2 linked regions of the Arabidopsis thaliana genome follow. The protein of the gene in region 2 interacts with the protein of the main gene of each other region in a pairwise test. Each region holds a gene or a part of one and is shown on either strand. Other genes may lie near its edges. The genes, in order: AT3G01890 and SWI3C.

Region 1 (4,842 bases), on a different chromosome or scaffold from region 2:
AAACCTGCTGCAGAGTTTTGAAAAAGGTGAATCCGTTCAAGTTTCCGGTTTTCCAAGCCGGCCCAAGGGTTTGTCTTGGGGAAGAGATGGCGTACGTGCAGATGAAGTATATTGTGGCTTCCATACTTGACCGGTTTGAGATTGAACCGATCCCTACGGATAAACCGGATTTTGTGCCAATGCTCACGGCTCACATGGCTGGTGGGATGCAAGTCCGCGTTCATCGGAGAGATCCTTCTCTTTCCCCTTGAATATACAAACAAAGTCAATTATCATGGCTTTTTATTTTATGTAAAACGTCTCTATGATCATTCATACCCAAAATTATTTTCTCCTTTGGGTAAACAACTCAACTTTTTTTTTTTTTTTTTCAATCCAAGTCATAAAGTCTCTACTAAATTTTTGAGTTTTGAAGAAAATTCAACCAATATTAGCTCAGTTATTATATTTTTGTTTGAAAATGACCCATTTTGCATTTGTTATCATCTTGGGATGATGACTATATTAAAAGTTCAACGTGAGAGCACAATGCCTTGGTCTTTTTCTATCCATAATAATACGTACGTTATTATTATTCTACAAGACTAGATCGAGCCAATTGGAAGTCAGTACGTGGAATCTACAAAAGAAAGTGAAAAAGTCAAGTATTTATCTTTCTTATATTTTGTCGCATATGATGCACGAGCTACAAACCAAAGTAAAAACTCTTGAAACTTGAGTAACAATGTTTCACTTAGAAAAAAAACCTATAAGGAACGACACTGATCAAGTGTCCTGGACCTAAGTGACTTCTAGGTAAAAGTAGTGAACTCATGAACTTCTTGGCCCATCTGCATCTTACCCGCCTGCTGGCTTCCGGTTCAAGTAACGTATTGCAGCATCCTCCACCCTGCAAGAGAATTCTCAGTGATTGTAAGACAAGTGATGAAAAGCAGAACAGTAGAGATTATTACCATGGCTGATTGAAGAACTCTGATCGGCCTTCTTTCTCAGCGTTTCGACTTGCTTCTCCTGCAACAAGCTTCAGATCTTTGGTCTGAGATTCCATCAAGGCATTGGTGAATTCCACCGGTGACTGGCTAAACCCTAAGAAAAACGCCCGTCTCCTTCTGTGCTCGTGGATTTTCCTTATGGCTCCGCATATGGCTTCATCACATGCCTCAATCTCTTTGTTCTTCTCTGGATTAGCGAGCAGATTGGAAAGCTCCGTTTGGACCGGTGCTGGTATGTCCACAAGCACATCGTAACATGCTGAGATGGCTGGATTGTTCCCCGAAAGCTTGATCTTGTGTACAAGCTGAATGGGAGGCGGAGGTGATAGGTGCTGAGATATCTTATGAGAGAGCATAGTGAATTTCATCTTCTCTTCCCCAAAAACACTGTGGAGAGCAGCATCACAGTTGAAGAAAGAAGGGTCGTTTGGGTTTTGCAGTTTCCTGACTTTCACGTAATGCCAGATTGCCGCAATGATTCTTGGGCGAGTGTCAACCTCAATGCCCAAAACTTGCATCAAAGCAGGAGAAGTCTTGAACTTCTCAGGGACGTAATTCATCTCCAACAGTATAGTAGCTGCAAACTCCTGACACCCTATCCTCTTTATCTCAAACCCTTCCAGAGGAGCAGGCGATCGATCCCTTTTCCATTCGATCAGATGGTTCTCAGGATACAGGCTCTGGTCCAGGGATATCTTTAACGTTTTGAAGAAAGACGAGAACTTGGGATAAAGTGGGTTTGAATTCTGAACTAATCCACCAGTGTGGTCAGGATCCAGGACCCTGCCGAAAATCCTAAGAGTCCATGTGGGAGGGTCAGGACCAGGGATCTGGTTGGAAAAGGTGTTGAAAACGTAGATCCTAAGGGTCTTCTGAATGGAAGGAGGGTTCTTAAGGGAGTCTTGGATGTCAACTTTCTTTCTGAAGAGAGCGGCATCAACCCGAGACTCAAACTCAAGAAGCTGTGTGTAGAGAGCAGACTCGGGCAAGACGGCAGCAACGCGCTCCTGCAAGGAGGACTTGTCTGGAAGCTTATGTTTCTTTTTCCTGGAAGCTGGAGTCAACTCCATACTAGGAGGAACAGCAGGAGGTCCTCCAATGGGAGGTTTATGTGGGAACCTTCTTCCAGGAGCACTAATCCCTTGGTCTTGAGAGAGCTGAAACTGAGGTTGAAAGTTAGGAGGGGCCATGTGGGAGGGAGCAAACGATGCAGAGGCCATTCCAAATGGCCAAGGCAGAGAGCTTTGAGGCCCTTTTAGTGCGTTCAACTCGTTATTCCCAGACATTGCTGATCACAAAAAATTGAATACAATCCCAAATTGGTGTCGACAGTAGTTACTCAGTAATTTTGGCTAGAAGAACCTCATCAAAATCACAACACACACACTCTATCGAATTTTGCCCTTTCTAAGCCGAACGTAACCCTAATTTAGTGCTGCGCGAGGATAGAGCCCTAATCAATTTCCCCCCAAATCTAAATAGTAAGATATAGGACACAACTTCTTCTTCTTCAATACAGCAGAAAGCGTATAATCTCAACTCCAGGAGAAAGAAAACAAATTCAATTCCCTCTGGAAGAAGAAGATGAAGATGATTCTTCTTCGAAAAAAAAAAAAAAAAAAAGACACGGCGGACCTATCAATGCCCACCTGAATTCTTCAACCGGGTCAAAACCCAACCATTAGTTAAAGGCCCAACGGCCATGGTTCGTGGGTCCATATTTAGATGGATCAATATTGCTTCTCGGCAATAAATCTAATTCCATGACTATAGGTAAAAAATCAAATTAAATCTAATCCAAATTATTTTTAAAAAAACTCTTAATAATCTACACCAATTTATTTCCAGATAAATACTATTTTTTAACTCTAAAACTAAGATCATGACAACCTTTTTTTTTCCCAAATAACTCTAAAATTTTTAATTAGCACATCTACATCTTAATTCTTAACAGATTCTATAGTATTATTGTTACTAATTAGAAATTACAATGATTATTTTCGACAAATGTAAACCTTATTGATATATAACATAATGCAATAATTCACAATAAAACACTAAGAATATTGTTCATCACCGGTCCAAGTCACCTTAACTTTGGGACCAGTTGGACCATCTTGACCCCGCATTTCTAAAGGAATTTTGTTGATGAGTTTTCGCAAACCTTTCCGTAAAAAGATGGGCAAAATCTTTGCGACAGAGTTGAGAAATATGTCAATCCTGTAATGGACTCGAGGTCCCCATTTCCTAAAATAATTCAGCCACGGTGGCTCAACCACGCCAGGTCCCGCAATCACTTCATATCCAATACCTGCGTCAAAGCATTTGTCGCTTCTTGCCATGTCGTTCCTTATTCCACTTTTGCCGCCACCTTGCAACACGACTCCAGGTTTGGAGAACATTGCATGCCCATGAAGAGACGAATATACTACTGGTTTGTTTCCACCTTGCATGAACTCTAGATCGCATGCATCCACTAAAGTTCCTCCACTGTGTTCAGAAAAGTAAACACGCCATAACTCACCATTGAAGTTGCTGATGCGTAATGTAACGTGTTCCCAGTCTCCAACATGCTCGCCAATATTTCCTAGCGACAGGCTCTTGATAAACAAAAATTTTAAATGTGCATTTCCGTTATAGGGAAAGAATAGCCATACTACAATATCTGTGAAAGTAGCTCCAAACATTGGTTTGATGTGTAGATACACCTTAGTGCTCTCTAAATCTCCCCTCTTAACCTTTTCTCTAGCCTTTTTATCGACTAGATAATCTAACCAAAACAAGTCATCATTGCAACCTCCTTGTGGAAGGTTTGAACCATTTGGATGTATCGGGACCGGGATGGATTCGTTTCCTTTCTTGTGTAGCAAGGCACCGTTAGCGAAAACCCAATTGACAGAGGAAGGAAGGAAATCTTCTTTTGGGTGTAAATATATCCAAGGAGAATACGTTTTAAACAAAACTCTAGTTTGATTTTCGCTTGGCATGCTTGACAAGTCAAATTTTGTATTTTTTAAGCAGAATAAAGGAGGGGGATGAGGAAGAAAGTTTAGTTGTTTGCAGCTGAATGTCCCTGTGAACACACCTGTCGCCTCTACTCCTCTCGTGGCCGGTCTCAAACTAGAAATAGTCATATCTTTTATCCTCCATACCCATGTATCGGCTTCACTCTGTTCTGTGAGATCAGATCGAACACAGCTTATAGAATTTTGTCCCAAAGAGGGCTTCATAGGAGAAGTAGTGACATATAGACCAACCGCATGATATCCATTAGGACATAGGGGCTGCCAAAAATATGCAGGCCCCTCTTGTTTGATAAGCAATGTTGTAGTGTTTCCAACTTCAGTGTAGTCGACTGGTGGTCTTAAATTACTTCCCGATACGTCTTTTGCAACAAGAATCCAACCAAAAAGCTGTCGGTTGTTAGGTTGTGCATAGAAGCCAAGTTTGAAGAAATTACGAGGAATAGTAGTTGGTTCAAAGATGCTGACTCCCATGTTATCCGGCCCTCCTTCATAAGTTCTCCACACTCTGTGTGATGTTGAGTTTGAGATAGAGATTTGAGTAACCTCAAGACCTCCCATATCAATGCTTCTTTTGCCAAAATTTCCACCATCGGAAGGCATACTAGGCAAAGGACTAGGAAATTTAAAGCTTGTTTCCACCGGTAAACCATTAGACGAAAGATAAGGATATTTGAATGGATACCCTAAAGAATTTACGTAGGAAATGTTGGTCAAAGGGTTAGTTCCAGTTTCTGCCCATGACAATTGCTTAACAAATAGAAAAACAAAAAACAATAGAAATTTTAAGTAGGTTTCATACAAGAGTTGCATTTTCTTTGGTCAGT
Region 2 (6,739 bases):
CCTCCTCCTAACAAACTTCCTCCTCTCAAATTAAAATCAACTCCGCCGTCGAATTCGCCATCTCCGTCGTCTTCTTCTTCTTTCTTCTCTGAATCCAGAAGCCGACCAGTCTCTCCCTTCGCTCCTCCTCCGTCTTTCAAGCTGAAATCGCCTTCAGATTCCGACTCCAACTGTTCAGCATCTCCGACTCCATATTTCCGATCTTCTTCTCCTCGTGCCGGTGGCTCATTGCCTCGGTGTTTTTTTCCCAAGTCATTATTTGGGTTGAAAAAGAGTAAGAGCGGCGATTTAAAAAAGACCGGTCAGCAGGAACCATCATCAACAACATCGGAGTCTGACAATTTCTATGAATCGGGAACAACGCTTTCTCCGTCGGAAGAAGATTCTAGCCAGGGATCGCCGGTATCTTCGAGGTGGAGTTCGCCGAAATCGTCCTTCTCTTCTCGCCGTGGTTCGCCGCTAAAACGGACTGATTCGGATTTAAGCTCTTATGAGAAAAAAACCATGTTAATGATAGCTCGTTCCCGCCTTGGTTAAATGGTTAGGCTTAAAAAAAAAAAAACATCTTAGAGATTAATCAAATAAAAATGATTTTGAGTTTTTCATTGCGACAAGAACGAATATGTTACATGTAGATTTGTAATGAAATTGTCTATATATTATCGTCAAAATGAATCGAGTTAAAAGACCCCTAATGTTTGAAGAGTAGAGAAATGGTTGTGGGAAAGAGAGACATTAAGATTGGTGACTGTTTTAATTCACAATGATGATGATGATGGTTTGATACTACAAGACACTAACTTGGAACAAGACTACGGTCTCAAAGCCAAATAACTTATCTTTAAAAATAACAAGGTGAAATAAATATGGATACTGATAAGCTAAATAAGCTAGAGAAAGATGGATCTTAGTTTAAGCCTAAGCCGGACCCTGAGCCTGAACCTGTGGAAGACCTAACCATCGGGTGACTAAACGAAGGCTGGTTGATCGATGCTGCTCCAGCTGCTGCAGGGTTATTTAGTTGGTTGTTGCCAAACATGACGTTTGGTGAAGCTGTTGATCCTGCATTGGTCTGTATTGCATTGAGAGGTAATCTCGGGCCAAACGAGAAAGCTTGCTGTTGTTGTTGTTGTTGTTGTTGTTGTTGTTGTTGTTGTCGTGCCATGAAATGCATCTGTGCTTGAACTTGCGGGTTGTTGCTGAATCCTGGGATTATGCTTGGTTGAGAAGTTGCGGAAGCTTGTTGTTGCTGATGTTGCTGATGCATGAGAGAATTGATGTTGTTACCACCTGTGGATAGAGACATGCCTTGGAGATTATTAGTCTGTGGAGAGATTCCTCCAGGAGATCCAAATCTTGCTGAGAGCATACGAGCCCGTTCTGCAGAAAATCTCTGACGGGTTTTCTCTACTTGTTCGCATTCTTTCATCAACAGTGTTTCAATTTCTGCGAACTGCTTTAATTTCAGCTCCATCCTCTTCAGCTGCGGTTTTTACTCAGATCAGCAATAAACACTATACAACAAAATAAATCAACTACCTACAGTAATTCTCATCAGCAACTGGTTCTGCTATTTTACCTGGTGATTAACGATATTAGCAGAAAGTCTCTGGATTTCGCGTTCCTCATGATCAGCAAACAATTTTGCTTTTGTTGCTGCAGCTGATAGACCGGCTCTAAATGCTGCCATAACCTTATCCTGTGGCAGTGGAGTCTGCGCTTCTGCTCCGTTTTGGCTTGATGTTTTGTGTGCTCCTGAGTTTTTTTTACAATTAAAGCATGTTGGTGTCGCAGATTAGGTTAAAACAAAAGAGCAAAGAATCACTGTAAAGAGAACAATCAAATAACTTCCTTACCATCTTGCTGTTGATTTTCTCCATCAAGCAAGCTGGCTTCTTTCCCTTGCATTCCCTCAGATTTCATCCTAGATCAAGAAGTTTCAGAATAGTCCATAGTATTATTAAACTGAATCACACTACAGAGAATTTATATTGGATAGAGACTATATAATACACTAACCTATCGTCCTCAGATAAAACCGAGAGGGATTCATGGGCACAGGACGCAGCAACTCGAGGTCCAACAGCTGATGCCAAAAATGCAACCTAAAATATTTTGGTATCAGGATCCTCATATCTCCAAACTTATGTGCAATACAGGACCATTCTCCACTCAAAATATGCATACAATTGAGCTCTCAGATATAATCGATTCATGGATCAGAGATATCTCTAACTGGTGAGATCATAAGGATAATAAGAAGCGCATATGAAATCTGCATCGGAAAAAAGTTCACAAACCAATGCCATAACCGGATTCGGAGACTTCACAAATGGAAGCTTGATCTCAGTGTCAGAACCTTGCTCGGAATATCCTGCAGACGCAAGCGGACAATTAGTATGGCATGTCAAAGGAAATAACTATGGAAAGTAATTCATTGCTACAAATTGAATAAAACAAAATCACCAGGTAAATCCCCATTTGAATCTGTTCCTTTGTGGTCATATCCATTTGTAGGGTTTTCCGTATTAGTTACACCAGAAACCTCAACATTATCTAATAGACCATCCTCCACAGGTAATCGAAGAAAATGAAGAATGCATTGAGCTTTTGACTTGGAACCAACATGATCAGCAATTTGAACCCAATTTTCATTGTAGAGTTCCACAGCTTCAAGAAGCAAGAGAGTTTCCTGATCAGTCCAATTGTCTCCATCTTGATCGCCATAAAATTTCATTGGATCCACTCTTACAAAGTCAAGACAAGAATGTCCAACAACAAATCTTCCATGGTGAAAACAATCACAGCATAAGAGTATATCCCCCTGTAAAGTAGAGATGAAGATCCTTTAGTTAGAAGCGGTCCAGTATCCGAGACAGTAAGCAAGATAAAGCTTGGAGTCTATTACATCACTGGGTGCAAAAAAGAATCAGATAATGATACACAAAGAACAGTACGTAAGGGGAAGCAGCCTAAGAACCTTCTTTTGCGATTGGAAGTACACAGTTGGAAGCGGTCGAGAACAATGGTTGCAATGACTATCACATAGGTGTTCACGAATTCTGATGTCCAAGTCAGGGCTGTCACCATCCAAACTTGGCAAGGATGAATAGACTTCACCCCCCTTGTGTCTACAGTTGGGCTTGTCAAATTTGATCAAACTATCAATAGATGTTAAAGCAGCAGACGGCACATTGACCTCGCCATTTGTGTCCTCCCTCACATCCGATACATCTCTCAAAGGGCCAGGATGTGACTGGGCAGTGGCACAGTAATTGATTATTCCCCAGTGATCAAGAAAACGGAAAACTCGTGCAAAATCTTCAATGTCAACACCATCTACCAATCCTTGGCAATCAGAAATCGTCAGTGTCTTTTCAGGGTTCTCTACATATTTGGAAACAATGGCGTTCCTGAATTCCATATAACTTTCGGGTGTATGATTTGGCGATTTCCCAGAGAAAAACTGTGGCACCACTTGCCTTTCAAGTCGATCTACTGTGTTTGGTGCAAACCAATCTGCTCAAATGTAACAGCAAAAGTAGAAGAATAAATTCGAGCATTGGGAACAAAAATATCAGAAAATAAAAATAAAATAAGAGGAGAATCTCGATATATTTGAGCCATAGGACTCCAGGAACAAAACCCAAACGAATTAGAAGAACATCACTTGCATAGTCTATTCAAGTTGTACTTCTGAGATAAGACACCTAAGGCTACTTCAAGCCAGCAGGTACTCTAATTTATCATGTACAAAAGTTATAATACCTCTTCCTTTCCATCAGACAGAACATGGGAACATAGAGAAACATCTGATATGAAATTGAGTCGCGTTCAGATTAATGTAAACTAAGAACCAGGCACTAGACAAAAGGAAGATAAGAACTTATACGTTAAGGAGATACCGGCATACAAACCTGTTTTGACTAATTCTCATTCCAATCACAAGATATATACTACAATACTACCAACCAGCAAAAGCTGATGCTGCATAAAGCCTAACCTCTAACATAAATGCGCGTATCAAGAGGAAGAAAAAACACACCTGAATGCATAGGCAAGACATGAACCAGATCCCCAAACCGTTTAACAACTCCTTCTCCATCCATAATAGGTGGTGGAGAGATAACATAAGCCGAAGACGATCCATCACTCCTCTCAAGATCAAGAGAATCAGCAGGTACAGTAGATAACGCTTGCAATTGCCCAAACGAAATGTTCTCCAGAGCTGGAAGTGAACCTTGCCCTCTAGTCTCCCCTATCAAACCAGCTCTCTCAGCCGCCACAACAGCCATTACAGACGCGTGTGGCCGGATCACAACACGCTTAACCACTGCCGGGAAATCAGAGATGCGCGAACCAGAATCTTCAACTACCTCGCCAATACCAAGTCCCGGATCGGGAGTTGCGCCGCCGTTTTGCTGAAGCTCATCGGCATTTTCAACGTCATCCATTTCTTCGTTGTTGTTGTTGTTATTCTCTTCGTCTTCTTCCTCCATATCTTCCTCCTCTTGTTTCGGTTTCCTCGCCGCCGATAACCCCCCTCTCTTCTTCCTTTTCCATTTCCCTCTTCTATCTGCGACAGAATTGTAAAAAGTGTAATTCAATTCACACGAATTCTCGAAATACCCATCACTACGATCTATGTGGGTAAGTCAAATCCCAATTTAAATTTGGATTTTGAGAGAGATAAAGATGTGAAACAGCAATTTACCTTCAGAAGCTGGCATTTTTGTGGATGAAGATAGAGAAATAGAGGTTTTGGGTTCTGTGGAATCGAAGCAAGACCCTTAGTAAAAAGAATTGCTTTCTTTGTCTTCTCTCCTCCGAGTCGTTCTGATTTCCAGCTCTCGAGCTAAACACCAAACCTTTTTCTCGCAATTTCTTTCACCATTTCCTTCATTAATCTCTATATATTAATTCATTCTCCACGACGACCTAACCTTCTCGACAAACAAGAGGGTTCTGATTTCGAAATTCAAGCTTCGTTGACCAATCCAAATTTTGGTTTAACTTCGGTTAAAGTCAACTTTACTTCGGTTTTATTTTTCAATTTTGAATGAGAAAAACCGAATCAATTATTTAGTTCGGTTCTTAAAGTTCAAATTGGTTAAACCGGTTTAAATTGATACATTAGTCGACCGTCGCGCATTAATACTGGTGTGGTGGTTCCGTTAACGAGCAACGGCGATGAAGAGACCTCGACCTACATCTCAGCCGTCGATCTCTTCCACCGTCAAACCACCACTGTCTCCGCCGGTCACACCGATTCTCAAACAGAAGCTACACAGAACAGGAACACCTAAATGGTTCCCGTTAAAACTAACCCACACGGAGCTGACGTTGCCGTTAACTTTTCCGACGGGTCAAACATTCCGGTGGAAGAAAACTGGAGCGATTCAGTATAGCGGAACGATTGGGCCTCACTTAGTCTCTCTTAGACAACGTCCAGGAGACGACGCAGTTTCCTACTGCGTCCATTGTAGCACAAGCCCTAAATCCGCGGAGCTTGCGTTGCTCGATTTTCTCAATGCTGAGATCTCGTTAGCTGAGCTATGGTCTGATTTCTCGAAAAAAGATCCTCGTTTCGGAGAGCTAGCGAGACATCTCCGTGGCGCTCGTGTGTTGAGGCAGGATCCGCTCGAGTGCTTGATACAGTTTTTGTGCTCATCGAACAATAACATTGCGAGGATTACGAAGATGGTGGATTTTGTTTCGTCTTTAGGGTTACATTTGGGTGACATTGATGGATTTGAGTTTCATCAGTTCCCATCATTGGATCGATTATCTAGGGTTTCTGAGGAAGAGTTTAGAAAGGCTGGTTTTGGTTACAGGTGATTTCATCACTCTCTAATGGTTGCATTATGTTGAATTAGACATTTAGGCTAAAACTTTGCTTGAAGCTTATACTTTTATTTACTCTGTGGCTATACATTCATAGAATTGAAGCTAATGTTTGGTCTAAGCTAGATAATCATTGTGTGGCCGTTTCTCTGATTGGTTCTGATCTCATTTGAAAACTCTCATTCTGGTTTATCTTGTGGTGAGCAGAGCCAAATACATAACAGGTACAGTGAATGCTTTGCAAGCAAAGCCAGGTGGTGGTAATGAATGGCTTCTTTCTCTGCGCAAAGTCGAACTCCAAGAGGCAGTTGCTGCGCTGTGTACATTACCTGGTGTTGGTCCGAAGGTAGCAGCTTGCATAGCTCTGTTTTCTCTTGATCAGCATAGTGCTATTCCGGTTGACACACATGTCTGGCAGGTAACAAAGTCCATCGGTTTCTATGTATTGTACTTACTTAATTGAGATCCAATTACATAATGGTGATGATGACTTCGGGCAACTTTTTTTTTGTTCTGTTTTGGATAATGGATCAGATCGCAACAAATTATCTACTGCCAGACCTTGCTGGTGCAAAACTGACACCTAAACTCCATGGCCGAGTTGCAGAAGCCTTTGTGAGTAAATATGGTGAATATGCTGGTTGGGCTCAAACATTGCTTTTCATTGCCGAGTTACCTGCACAAAAAACTCTCTTGCAATCGTTTTCCCAGCCCATTAACAAACTGGATGAGTCTGCAGAAGTTAATGAAACTAGCTGTGATACGTTGAAGCCATGACTATGTGTCTACCTAAGCTACGAGGAATCGTTTTCACAACCCATTCTTGATGCGTCAAGTCCAGAAACTTGACCTTGGAAGAGCTAAGAAAATTCTGAAGCTGATGCAGTATTTGGCT

The links.
Region 1: the proteins of SWI3C (region 2) and AT3G01890 interact in a two-hybrid assay, tested with the Arabidopsis thaliana proteins (one study listed by BioGRID).

What each region holds. Positions count from the first base shown.
Region 1 is NC_003074.8:307,768-312,609, reverse strand, and holds AT3G01890 (SWIB/MDM2 domain superfamily protein), read right to left. Parts: upstream 2,604-4,842; 5' UTR 2,279-2,603; coding exon 954-2,278; intron 890-953; coding exon 838-889; 3' UTR 537-837; downstream 1-536. Other genes in the region: CYP94B2 (cytochrome P450, family 94, subfamily B, polypeptide 2), read left to right, coding at 1-251; AT3G01880 (vacuolar sorting-associated protein (DUF946)), read right to left, coding at 3,050-4,828.
Region 2 is NC_003070.9:7,619,249-7,625,987, forward strand, and holds SWI3C (SWITCH/sucrose nonfermenting 3C), read right to left. Parts: upstream 4,919-6,739; 5' UTR 4,731-4,918; coding exon 4,715-4,730; intron 4,577-4,714; coding exon 4,046-4,576; intron 3,520-4,045; coding exon 2,981-3,519; intron 2,825-2,980; coding exon 2,467-2,824; intron 2,375-2,466; coding exon 2,301-2,374; intron 2,106-2,300; coding exon 2,020-2,105; intron 1,925-2,019; coding exon 1,857-1,924; intron 1,756-1,856; coding exon 1,580-1,755; intron 1,484-1,579; coding exon 908-1,483; 3' UTR 753-907; downstream 1-752. Other genes in the region: AT1G21695 (hydroxyproline-rich glycoprotein family protein), read left to right, coding at 1-537; OGG1 (8-oxoguanine-DNA glycosylase 1), read left to right, coding at 5,191-5,834, 6,052-6,262, 6,379-6,621. UniProt on the Arabidopsis thaliana protein: Component of a multiprotein complex equivalent of the SWI/SNF complex, an ATP-dependent chromatin-remodeling complex, which is required for the positive and negative regulation of gene expression of a large number of genes.